Linked DNA regions of Neurospora crassa OR74A. The protein of the gene in region 1 interacts with the protein of each later gene in a pairwise test. Links are inferred from orthologs where the notes say so. Each region holds a gene or a part of one and is shown on either strand. Other genes may lie near its edges.

Evidence for each region.
Region 2: the proteins of NCU09552 (region 1) and NCU04378 interact in binary tests that used the Saccharomyces cerevisiae proteins (3 or more experiments, as listed by UniProt). The link is inferred for Neurospora crassa OR74A from reciprocal best matches to the Saccharomyces cerevisiae genes TOF1 and CDC45.

Annotation. Positions count from the first base shown.
Region 1 is NC_026505.1:4,564,082-4,568,613, forward strand, and holds the start of NCU09552 (topoisomerase 1-associated factor 1), read right to left. Parts: upstream 2,871-4,532; 5' UTR 2,702-2,870; coding exon 2,627-2,701; intron 2,567-2,626; coding exon 1-2,566. Other genes in the region: NCU09553 (3-hydroxybutyryl CoA dehydrogenase), read left to right, coding at 3,489-3,605, 3,681-4,514. UniProt on the Saccharomyces cerevisiae protein: Forms a fork protection complex (FPC) with CSM3 and which is required for chromosome segregation during meiosis and DNA damage repair. FPC coordinates leading and lagging strand synthesis and moves with the replication fork.
Region 2 is NC_026504.1:3,567,886-3,572,483, reverse strand, and holds the start of NCU04378 (DNA replication initiation factor Cdc45), read left to right. Parts: upstream 1-1,651; 5' UTR 1,652-2,009; coding exon 2,010-2,777; intron 2,778-2,829; coding exon 2,830-4,598. UniProt on the Saccharomyces cerevisiae protein: Required for initiation of chromosomal DNA replication. Acts at the origin of replication. Also has a role in minichromosome maintenance.

The DNA.
Region 1 (4,532 bases):
GGCTGCCTGGGAGAATCCAGGTCGAGTCGGGGGTCTCGTCGAGAGTAGGCGTGAGACGCTCCATACCGACTAGACGCATGAGAAGACGGAGGTGCGGGTTCTTGAACATGGCTGTGCGGCGAGCCTCGGTATCAGGGCGGATCGTGATATGTGGTGGTGCTGATTTGTTGGATCTCTCGTCGGCAGCTTCACCATCAGCCGCCCCCTCGGTAGTGGCTGCCATGGCCTTGTCTACGTTCTCCCATGCTTGCCGCTCACTCATTGCACTTGTCAGCTGATCCTTGAGCCACTGCAGATGCTCGACTTGCTGTTTGTCGATGAGTACGCTGACCGCAATGCCAATCTGCTCGTCGCGCTCTGTGGCTCGCTTGAACTCCAGCTCGGCACCAGGTCGTGGCGTAGTTGTGGTGACAGGCTTCTCATAGCCGTGCTCAAGGAAGTGCGTCGTGCTGCCAATCTTGGAAAAGAGCAACTCGGTGAACAACGCAGGCCGCTCTTGAAGCTTTTTGACACATTTCCGAATGATCTGCTTGGAGAGCTCCTCCCATTCCTTGAACATCGGCGAGCTTTTGTCGAGGGGCTCGGGACCTTGGACCATGTTGTAAAAGAGATTGATGATGTCTAGTCGGAATAGCATGATGCTCAGCTCGAGTTTGAAGGCAACGCGGTAGAAGTAGCGATGAGCGCGCTTCAGCTGTGCGTCGTTCAAATCCCGGTAGAATTTGGTGAAGGCGACAAATGTGTCGACAACACCCTGGGGAGCGAATCGAATGGCGAATTTCCCAAACTCGAACTTGCGCTCCTGAGTGACCCGCTCTGCATGTTGCTCATCGTCCCCAGAATCATCGGCATCATTGTCCTCGGGAACGCCAACGTCTTCTGCTTCCTCACCGGCGGCTCTAGCTGCAGCAACAGCAGCAGCAGCTTTGGCAGCCTTCTTCTTTCGGCGAGCTCGCTTCCGTGAGCGCACCTGCAAATCGACATTTTGCTTAGAGTAACCTTCTAAAATGCGGAGGAAAGTGTGGACAAGCTCGGTCGCGGCATCAAGATATTCGAAGCCTTGATCCTTGTATGTTCGAGCAATATTCGCGATAAGGTCGTGGGTTGTCTCCTCGTAAAAGAGACGGCTCAGGGTGTTTTCGGCAATCTCCTGGTCTTCCTCGTTGGGAGACTCTGACATCTCCTGGACTGTGAGGAAGATCTGGGTGTAACAGCGCATGACGGACGTGAGCAGTTGCCAATCCTTATCACTATAGGACCGGTCAAGCGCACGATTCATGGAAGCGAACATTTCCTGTTGGAGCACAGCAGCAACGAGGTTAAAACTGTTCACCTCCTCTCCGGCTGCGGACGTCGACTTCGACTCGTCCCTCTTGGCCTTTCTCCGCATCCGCTCGGCTTCGAGGAACCAGGCGACAAGGTAAAAGAACTGGCTCTTATGCTGGTTCAATGCATGCAATGCCTCCCGATCGATCGATTGCCTCACGTGCAGAAACAAGGGGTTGAAACCGGAGTCGAGGAAGTCTTGGACGAATGATCGCAGCTGCTGACGAGCTCTTTCATCTAGCGTCACCGGAGGGCCAAGGTCCTTGGGCTCCATCTCGGGTTTCCTCGCTCTTCTTGGCGGTCTGAATGTTTTGGAGTTATCCATCTTCCTCTCTCGCGTTTTTGCGTCCAAAAGAGCCTCTTGGCCAGATACCGTCACCATCTTGCCATCTGCTCGTTTCACCCAGATCATGGTCCCAAATCGACTGTGCCGAGTGGTGGTGGTTTTGTTGTAGGATTTTAGCATAGCAGCCTCCTTGCGCATCTCCGATGCCAGCTCTTGCCCCTTGGCTTTGTTGAGTTGCTTTTCACTGACGAAGAGCGAGCTGGGGTCAACTCTTTTTACAAGATGAAAGATGATTTCCATGATAACTACATCTTCGGTGCGGAAGTCCTCGCCCATGTTGGAGGCAAGGGTCAGCAGAGTGAGAAATATGTCTTGATACGAAAAGGCATCAATGGTTGCCGACCTGGATACCTGTGTCTCGTCGCCTTCGCATTTGACACCTTGCGGGGGTGCGATCATGGCAACGTTCCTCAAAAAGAAGAGAATGAGCTTGATGATGGCCTGGTCACGGGGTGTCCGCTCGCCGATAGGCATGGCCATGGAGGGAAGGGCTACCCTGACGGCGGTGTTGAGGATGGGTATCGCATCGAAGTTTATGATGGCGCGCTTGTAGCCAAGCTGGGCAAGCTGCAGAACGGGCATGTGACGATGGTGGTTGATGGTCATTTCGGCGCGCTCCTTCTCTATGGGCCAAGTAAGGGGCACCATGACCTCGAAACACGCCAGAGCAATACGGGCCTTGTACTTGCTGTCGGTTTCGCTTTGAGGCCATAATGTCAGGATCTGGAGCAGATCGCCGCCGACGAGGTTCGCTTCAGCCAGACATCTGGCGACGTCCATGCGATTGGTCTTTTCATCGTAGAATCGGATCCATTTCTTCAGGTCGCGCAAGACGTCTAGCGCTTCGTCACCGAGCTTGTAGCTTCCATCATCGTCCGCGCTGTAACCACCGAGCTATTCGGGTCGCCAGAGTCAGTACATCCGTGTATATAACGAGTCCAGAAGTGGACATACCGCAGAAACCAGGTTGGTGATGTGCGCCCGCACTTCCGGATGGACGACATCGTCGTTGATGTCTGCGGCCTCCATTTTGCGCAGAAATCACGGCGTCCAAGACCAGAACGGAGTCATACGAGTACTAGACAGACTCTCCCCAACTCTCAGCTTGTCTTGGAGGTCGTTTTGTTATCGCATGGATGGTGGCATTGGTCGGGCGCACTTTGTCGGGACGGGACACGCGTTTGTGGTGGTGGGAGACGCGCCGACCGTGTCGTACTTTTTAATGGAAATTGGTGGTATCTTGGTCTTGGCCTGCTTATCTCCCCAAGCGTTTTGTCGGACTGTTTTAAGATACCTGGGTAAGTAGGTACCTAATGTACCTAGCTACCTACTAGAGATACCTCTGCAGCAGTACCTGTGCACCCCGATTTCGACCTCGTGGAGAGCTGCGGAGTTACCCCTGTGGACGGGCAATCAACGACAGCCGAGGATCTTGAGTTGGCGCGGGAATCATGCCCGCAATTGCCCCCCCTGAACGACATGCTTGTACCTCTAGGTAGCGTACATAGTACTCCATACGCGCTAAAACCGACCCCATTTTCCCCGCCTAAGAAAAGGCTAGAGCCGCCCGTAGCTCCTGTACGGCAGTATGTTATGTCCCCCCCGTGGCCCGGGTCGGGCTTGTGACGTCGAGTTGGAGACGAGGACGGCCGAGGTTAACCGAATCCGACAACTTCACATCGTCGCATTCGCATTCTCTAGAGGTGCCCTGGTTGCCTACCTAGGTGTAGTCTTCCGATTTTTCTGTCCCTTTCCTTTCAGTCTCTCTCAGTCACAGTGTCTGCTTTGTTTACTTTCGCCGTGACGATCTCGCAAAATGCTTGCTAGAACCCTCGTCCAGAAGCTGCCCATGGGCGCTCGCGCCTTCAGCTCGACATGCGCCCGCAACGCTGCCGAGGTCAAGAGGCTCGGTGTCGTTGGCGCCGGCCAGATGGTGAGTCCGGCCCATATCATTCATGCCCATGTCTTCAACAACGGCAACGGCTGACTTGTCCTCCTTCTCCTTTAGGGCCTGGGCATCGCCCTCGTCGCCGCCACCAAGGCCAGAGTCCCCGTCACCCTTGTGGATGCCTCTGAAACGTCTCTAGACAAGGGCCTTGCATTCGCCGACAAGCTCCTCAGCAAGGATGTGGCCAAGCAACGCATCACTCAGGATGAGGCGGACGCCGCCCGCGCGCTCCTCCAGCCCACCACCATCCTCGAGGACCTGGACAGCGTCGATTTTGTGATTGAAGCTGTGCCTGAGATTCCCAAGCTCAAGTTCGACATCTTCTCCAAGCTGGCCGAGATCTGCCCTAAGCACGCCATCTTAGCCACCAACACCTCTTCCATCTCCATCACGCGCATCGCCGCCTCAACCACCAAGGACCCCAACGACACCTCCAACAGCTCGCGCGTCGTGTCCACGCACTTCATGAACCCCGTGCCCGTTCAGAAGGGAGTCGAGATCATCAGCGGTCTGCAGACCAGTCAGGAGACGCTTGACACGGCCGTCGAGTTTTGCAAGAAGCTGGGCAAGATCCCTTCCATCTCCAAGGACAGCCCGGGATTCTTGGCTAACCGCATCTTGATGCCTTACATCAATGAGGCCATTATCTGCCTGGAGACTGGCGTTGGCGACCGTGACTCTATCGATGCTATTATGAAGAACGGCACCAACGTGCCTATGGGCCCCCTCCAGCTGGCTGACTTTATCGGTCTCGATACCTGTTTGGCTATTATGAAAGTATTGTACGAGGAGACGAGCGATTCCAAGTATAGGCCGAGCGTGCACTTGCGCAACATGGTCGATGCTGGCTGGTTGGGCAAGAAGAGTGGCAAGGGCTTCTATGACTACCAATAGATGTCTGACGAGAATATG
Region 2 (4,598 bases), on another chromosome or scaffold:
AAGTACCAAGTGAGCAACGAGCTGATAGGTTTTGTATGGCGCAGTAAACATGGTGGTGAGCCCATGGCCTCATGGGTACTCGGCCCCATCGTTTCCCCTCGCATCAAACAGCAGCTTGCCGATCTATGGGTATACGCTGCAATTTGTTACCGCGTCCAAAAGTAGCGTATATCTGGCAAGGTCTGGCTGGCTACCTGCCCAAGTCCCCGGGTCGCTTCCATGCTTGACTCTAGTGTACACTACTACACGGTAGACGCACCCCAGGGCAACTTACAAACCACAAGTGTTTTGAGAAGCGTGTCGATCACCTCGTTGCTGGGCCCAACCATCAGTCAGTTCCTCTGAACAGCCTCCTTCCTGCTTTGGTCAGTGAAGGCAGAGGAGCGGTCAGGTTGACCGTAGAAAAGCGTGGGCCGCAAGAGTGGCCGCCGTCGTGGCTGGCTTGGCAGGCCGGCTGGCTACTGTAGTAGCACGGATGGAGTGAAATTGAGACTGTCGCCGACGAGACGGGGCGTGGTGTGGGTGTCGTGGTGGATGGCCAGTGTTGTGAGTGGTGTCTGGTGTGCGGCAGTTGTTGTGTTGTGATCCAAGCAATGATGGAAATGTGGATTGACAAAAGAGGGACCAAACTAAACAGAGGAAGAGAAGCGAAGATGGAAGCTGGATTATAGGTCGAATCGGAAATCCGGAGACGCTGATCCGGAATCCAGGATTGGAAAGCACATCGTTAGATGGTCCCTTCCTGTGCTAGGTATTGTACTTCAATCCGCACTCTGCAATTTCGGAATAGTTCATCATCCCCGGTCCGTTCCTTCACCGCGGACCTTTCTGTGGGACATCGATGCCTGTCTGGACACCTACCTATGCTATGGTAGGAGATGGAGTGGAAAGAGCACAGCTGGTCACCCAGGTTGATAAATTAGTTCAGTTCCAGCTGTTGGGCAGCCCCACGGTGACAGTGTTCTCAGATGATTCCACGGCAACTAAAGAGTTCACTAAAATCCAGGGACATCGGCCGGCAGAAATTCTCGTGAAATTCCACGTTCGACCAGGTGGACAAGTTGCAGAAGTGGAAGCTTCTATCGCATTGCTGTCGTGCAGGAACCTTACTGGCCGTTGTTCCGTTGTCCTCTGGGCAGGCATTTGCCGGGCTATGATGTACCTACCTGGTTTACCTTATTACCTACCTACTTACTGTACCAATGCCCGTGCTTCGGTCGAGGGATGGCCGCCCCGGGGTGCCCCTGTGGCCTTGGCTGTCAGCAGCTGCCCTGGGCAATTCCACTTCGCGTTGTACCCCGCCATTTCTTGATATACTACTGTACGCAGTAGGTAGGTAGGTACTTTACCCAGCTCTACAATAGGTACCTCCCGTCTTGCCTGCCCAAAACCCAAAGCCCCACTACAAGTACGTAGAGGTACCTCTAGGTACAAGCAAACTGGTCGCTCCGGCCGCGTCCTTTCACTGCACGCTTTGTGCTGACGCCCCCCCTGCAGTCCACTGCAGTGGTTGATATCTAAGTAATGCACGCTGTGCCCGCCCTGGCACAAAACCACTTTCACAGAGTCGCGTCTCGAAGCGCGTCCGAAGCGCAGCGCTGGTTGGCCGCCCTTCCATGTCAATTAAAGGATCCTGGCCAACATCAACAAAGGAACACTCCTATCAACACCATCATCCCTCGCCCGAATTATTGTCGACCGCGACAACACTATCCGACTGACGTGCATCGCCATCACACCAGTATTTTTTTGCCATCGTATATTTCAAGCTACATAGTCCAGAGCAGAAAGCTCTTAACGCGGGGCAGGCCGCGTCGCGCATCCCCCGTCGGTTTTTTTTCTGCCCAGTGAACAGAGTTCGAAGTTAGTTACCTCGAGTAAACTACAACTGAAGTGTTCCACGCCGGCGAATATCCCACGACGACGTCGCCTCGCCGCCCCGCCTCGACAATCCGTCCCCAGCCGATTTCCCTCGCTGATCCACCCTCGATACCGATTCTCCCTTCGCAATGTATCTCCCTCGACAGCTTATATCAAAACTCTACCTCCACTTGCAAAATACCCGCCATCCACTATCGCCGCCCGTCCTCATCTTGGTCGCTCTCGAAACCGATGCGCTATGTGCCTGCCGTATCCTAACCCAACTTCTCAAACATGACTATATTCCGCACAAGATCCAGCCAGTCGCTGGCTACTCCGACCTCGAACGTGCCGGCACTGAGCTCGTCAGCCCCATGATGGAGACCCGTGGTGGTGCTGGAGGAGTCGTCGTATGCTTGGGAGTGGGTGGTATGGTTGACCTCGGCACAGTTTTGGGACTTGAGCCCGAGGGCGAAGAAAATACCTTTGGGGGTGTAGAGGTGTGGGTGATCGACTCCCATCGCCCGTGGAACTTGGGCAACGTTTTCGGCGGCTTTCCCCTCGAACCAGAGACGCAAGAGGCCAGGACATTCTCTGCGCGAACCCCCATTGGTGTCAATGGCGGCCGGATAGAGCGAGCATACAAACCAGGCAAAGGCGGCATCATTGTCATGGATGACGGCGACATTGAAGATGAGCTCTCCAAGGAACGAGATGCGTATCTGGCGCTAGTGGATATGCCCGAAATCGAAGATGATGGCCGAGACTTGGGCGACAGTGATGAAGACGAAAGCGAGAACGAGGAAGACACGGGCGATACATCGGTTGTTGCAGGCAGAAAGAGGAAATCATGGTCGGACTTCGACGAGGACGATGATGAAGACGACCGACCCAGACAGCGACGAAGAAGCAATTCGGTGAGTACATTCCGATTTCTTCATAGTAATACATCTCTCATGCCAGATACAGTCGAGTCCAATTCCAGATTCGCCTCGACGACCGCAACACCGTGGTCTCATATCTCTACGCGACGATGCCCTATTTTCCAGTGACGCGCTGGAAGCTCCGCCTGCTGCACAACCACCCAGAGGCCCTTCAGCCAACACCCTCCGACGGAGATTGCTACGACTACGACGAGAAAACGAGGGAGTTTTGCGCGAGTACTACCGACTGGGTACATCATATTCGGAGCCCATCTCGTCCATGATGTACTCCCTTGCGTCAGAACTGGGTCGTGAAGACAACGACCTGCTATGGTTAGCGATCGTTGGGGTCACGTCGATGGAGCTGTACGGCCGCTCATCTGCCGGTATTGCGGTAGCAGCTCGCAGGTCAGACGCCCGCATTTCCGGTTGGCTCGGCATGCGTGGTGCGAGAATACGGCAGCTTCTGCGAGACGAGGTCAGACGTCTCAACCCACCAGAGATAGGAAACGGCCGGGTGCTCCCCGAGACGACAGGAATTATCCCAACAACCGCTCGAAGTCCGGAGGATACCAGTATCAGGTTGTCGCCGGAGCCCAAGTTCCTGCTTATTAGGCACTGGAGTTTATACGACAGCATGCTTCACTCACCCTACCTCTTCTCTCGGCTAAAGACGTGGAGCGAGGCTGGCATGAAGCGATTACACAAGCTTCTCGCCAAGATGGGTGTCAGTCTGGTGCAGTGCAAGCAGAGTTATGCCCACATGGACATGATGTTGAAGCGCGAACTTCGCACCAAACTACTAAAATACGCGTCTCTCTACAACCTCGACGAACTTGTCCCGACCATAGACACGGACGGGAAAGATCGTGGAGGTGCCAAAGATGGATGGGGCTTTGTACGCAGTTGGGGTTGGAGGGCAACCCTGAGTGCGCAAGATGTCGGTGTCGTAGTCGGAGCCCTGTTGGAAGTGGGGAAGAACACCACTAGTGCTGATGACCTTCCTGCTGGCCCATCTCAGGATCTTCTCGACGTAGACAACAACCAGAGCCAAAGTGAGGAGTGGATCCCCAGGTTCTGGGAGGCGTATGATGCGCTGGAGGACATCGAGGCCCTTAAGGCTGGCCTTCCCACGGCGCAGTATCTACACAAGGCCATCTTCACCACTGGCACGACAATTTTGAAGAAGAAACAAATATCTCATCTGCGCGCATTTCGCATGTGCGTGGTCAAGGACTCACCAGATGCGACACTCTTCAACCACCCCGGCGCTTTGACCAAGCTAGCGCTCTGGATCGGTGAAGCACTCGCGGAACAGGAAAAAGAAGCCACTGGCGGGAGGCTCGCCCATGGCGGTCGTGGCACACCTCTCGTAGTGGCTAGTCTAGATGACAAGCGCGGAGTGTATGTTGTCGTCGGTACTGGTGGCGGCGGTGGGCCAGACACAAAGTTTCTCGATCGTGAATCGGCCAAGAAGCGAGCCGAAGAAAAAGAGGCCAAAGCTAAAGCCAAGGAGATGCAGAGAAGGATCAAGGAAAAGATCAAGGCCGAGAAGAAGGAGGCCAAGAGAAAGGAAAAAGAAGAGAAAAAGAAAGCCAAGTCCGACGCCGGCGGCGATGAGGACGAGGAGGAGGACAACGAGGAAGATAGTGACGACGACTCGGATCTCTCTGATACGGACTCGGACGACGATGATGAGTCGGACGAAGACGAGGACGAGCTCGATCAGGAACTTGAAAGGGGCTACGGCCTCAACAAATTCGGAACAGCGTTCCAAGACGTGGTGGCGGAGACTAATGCCAGAGTGCGCATCGA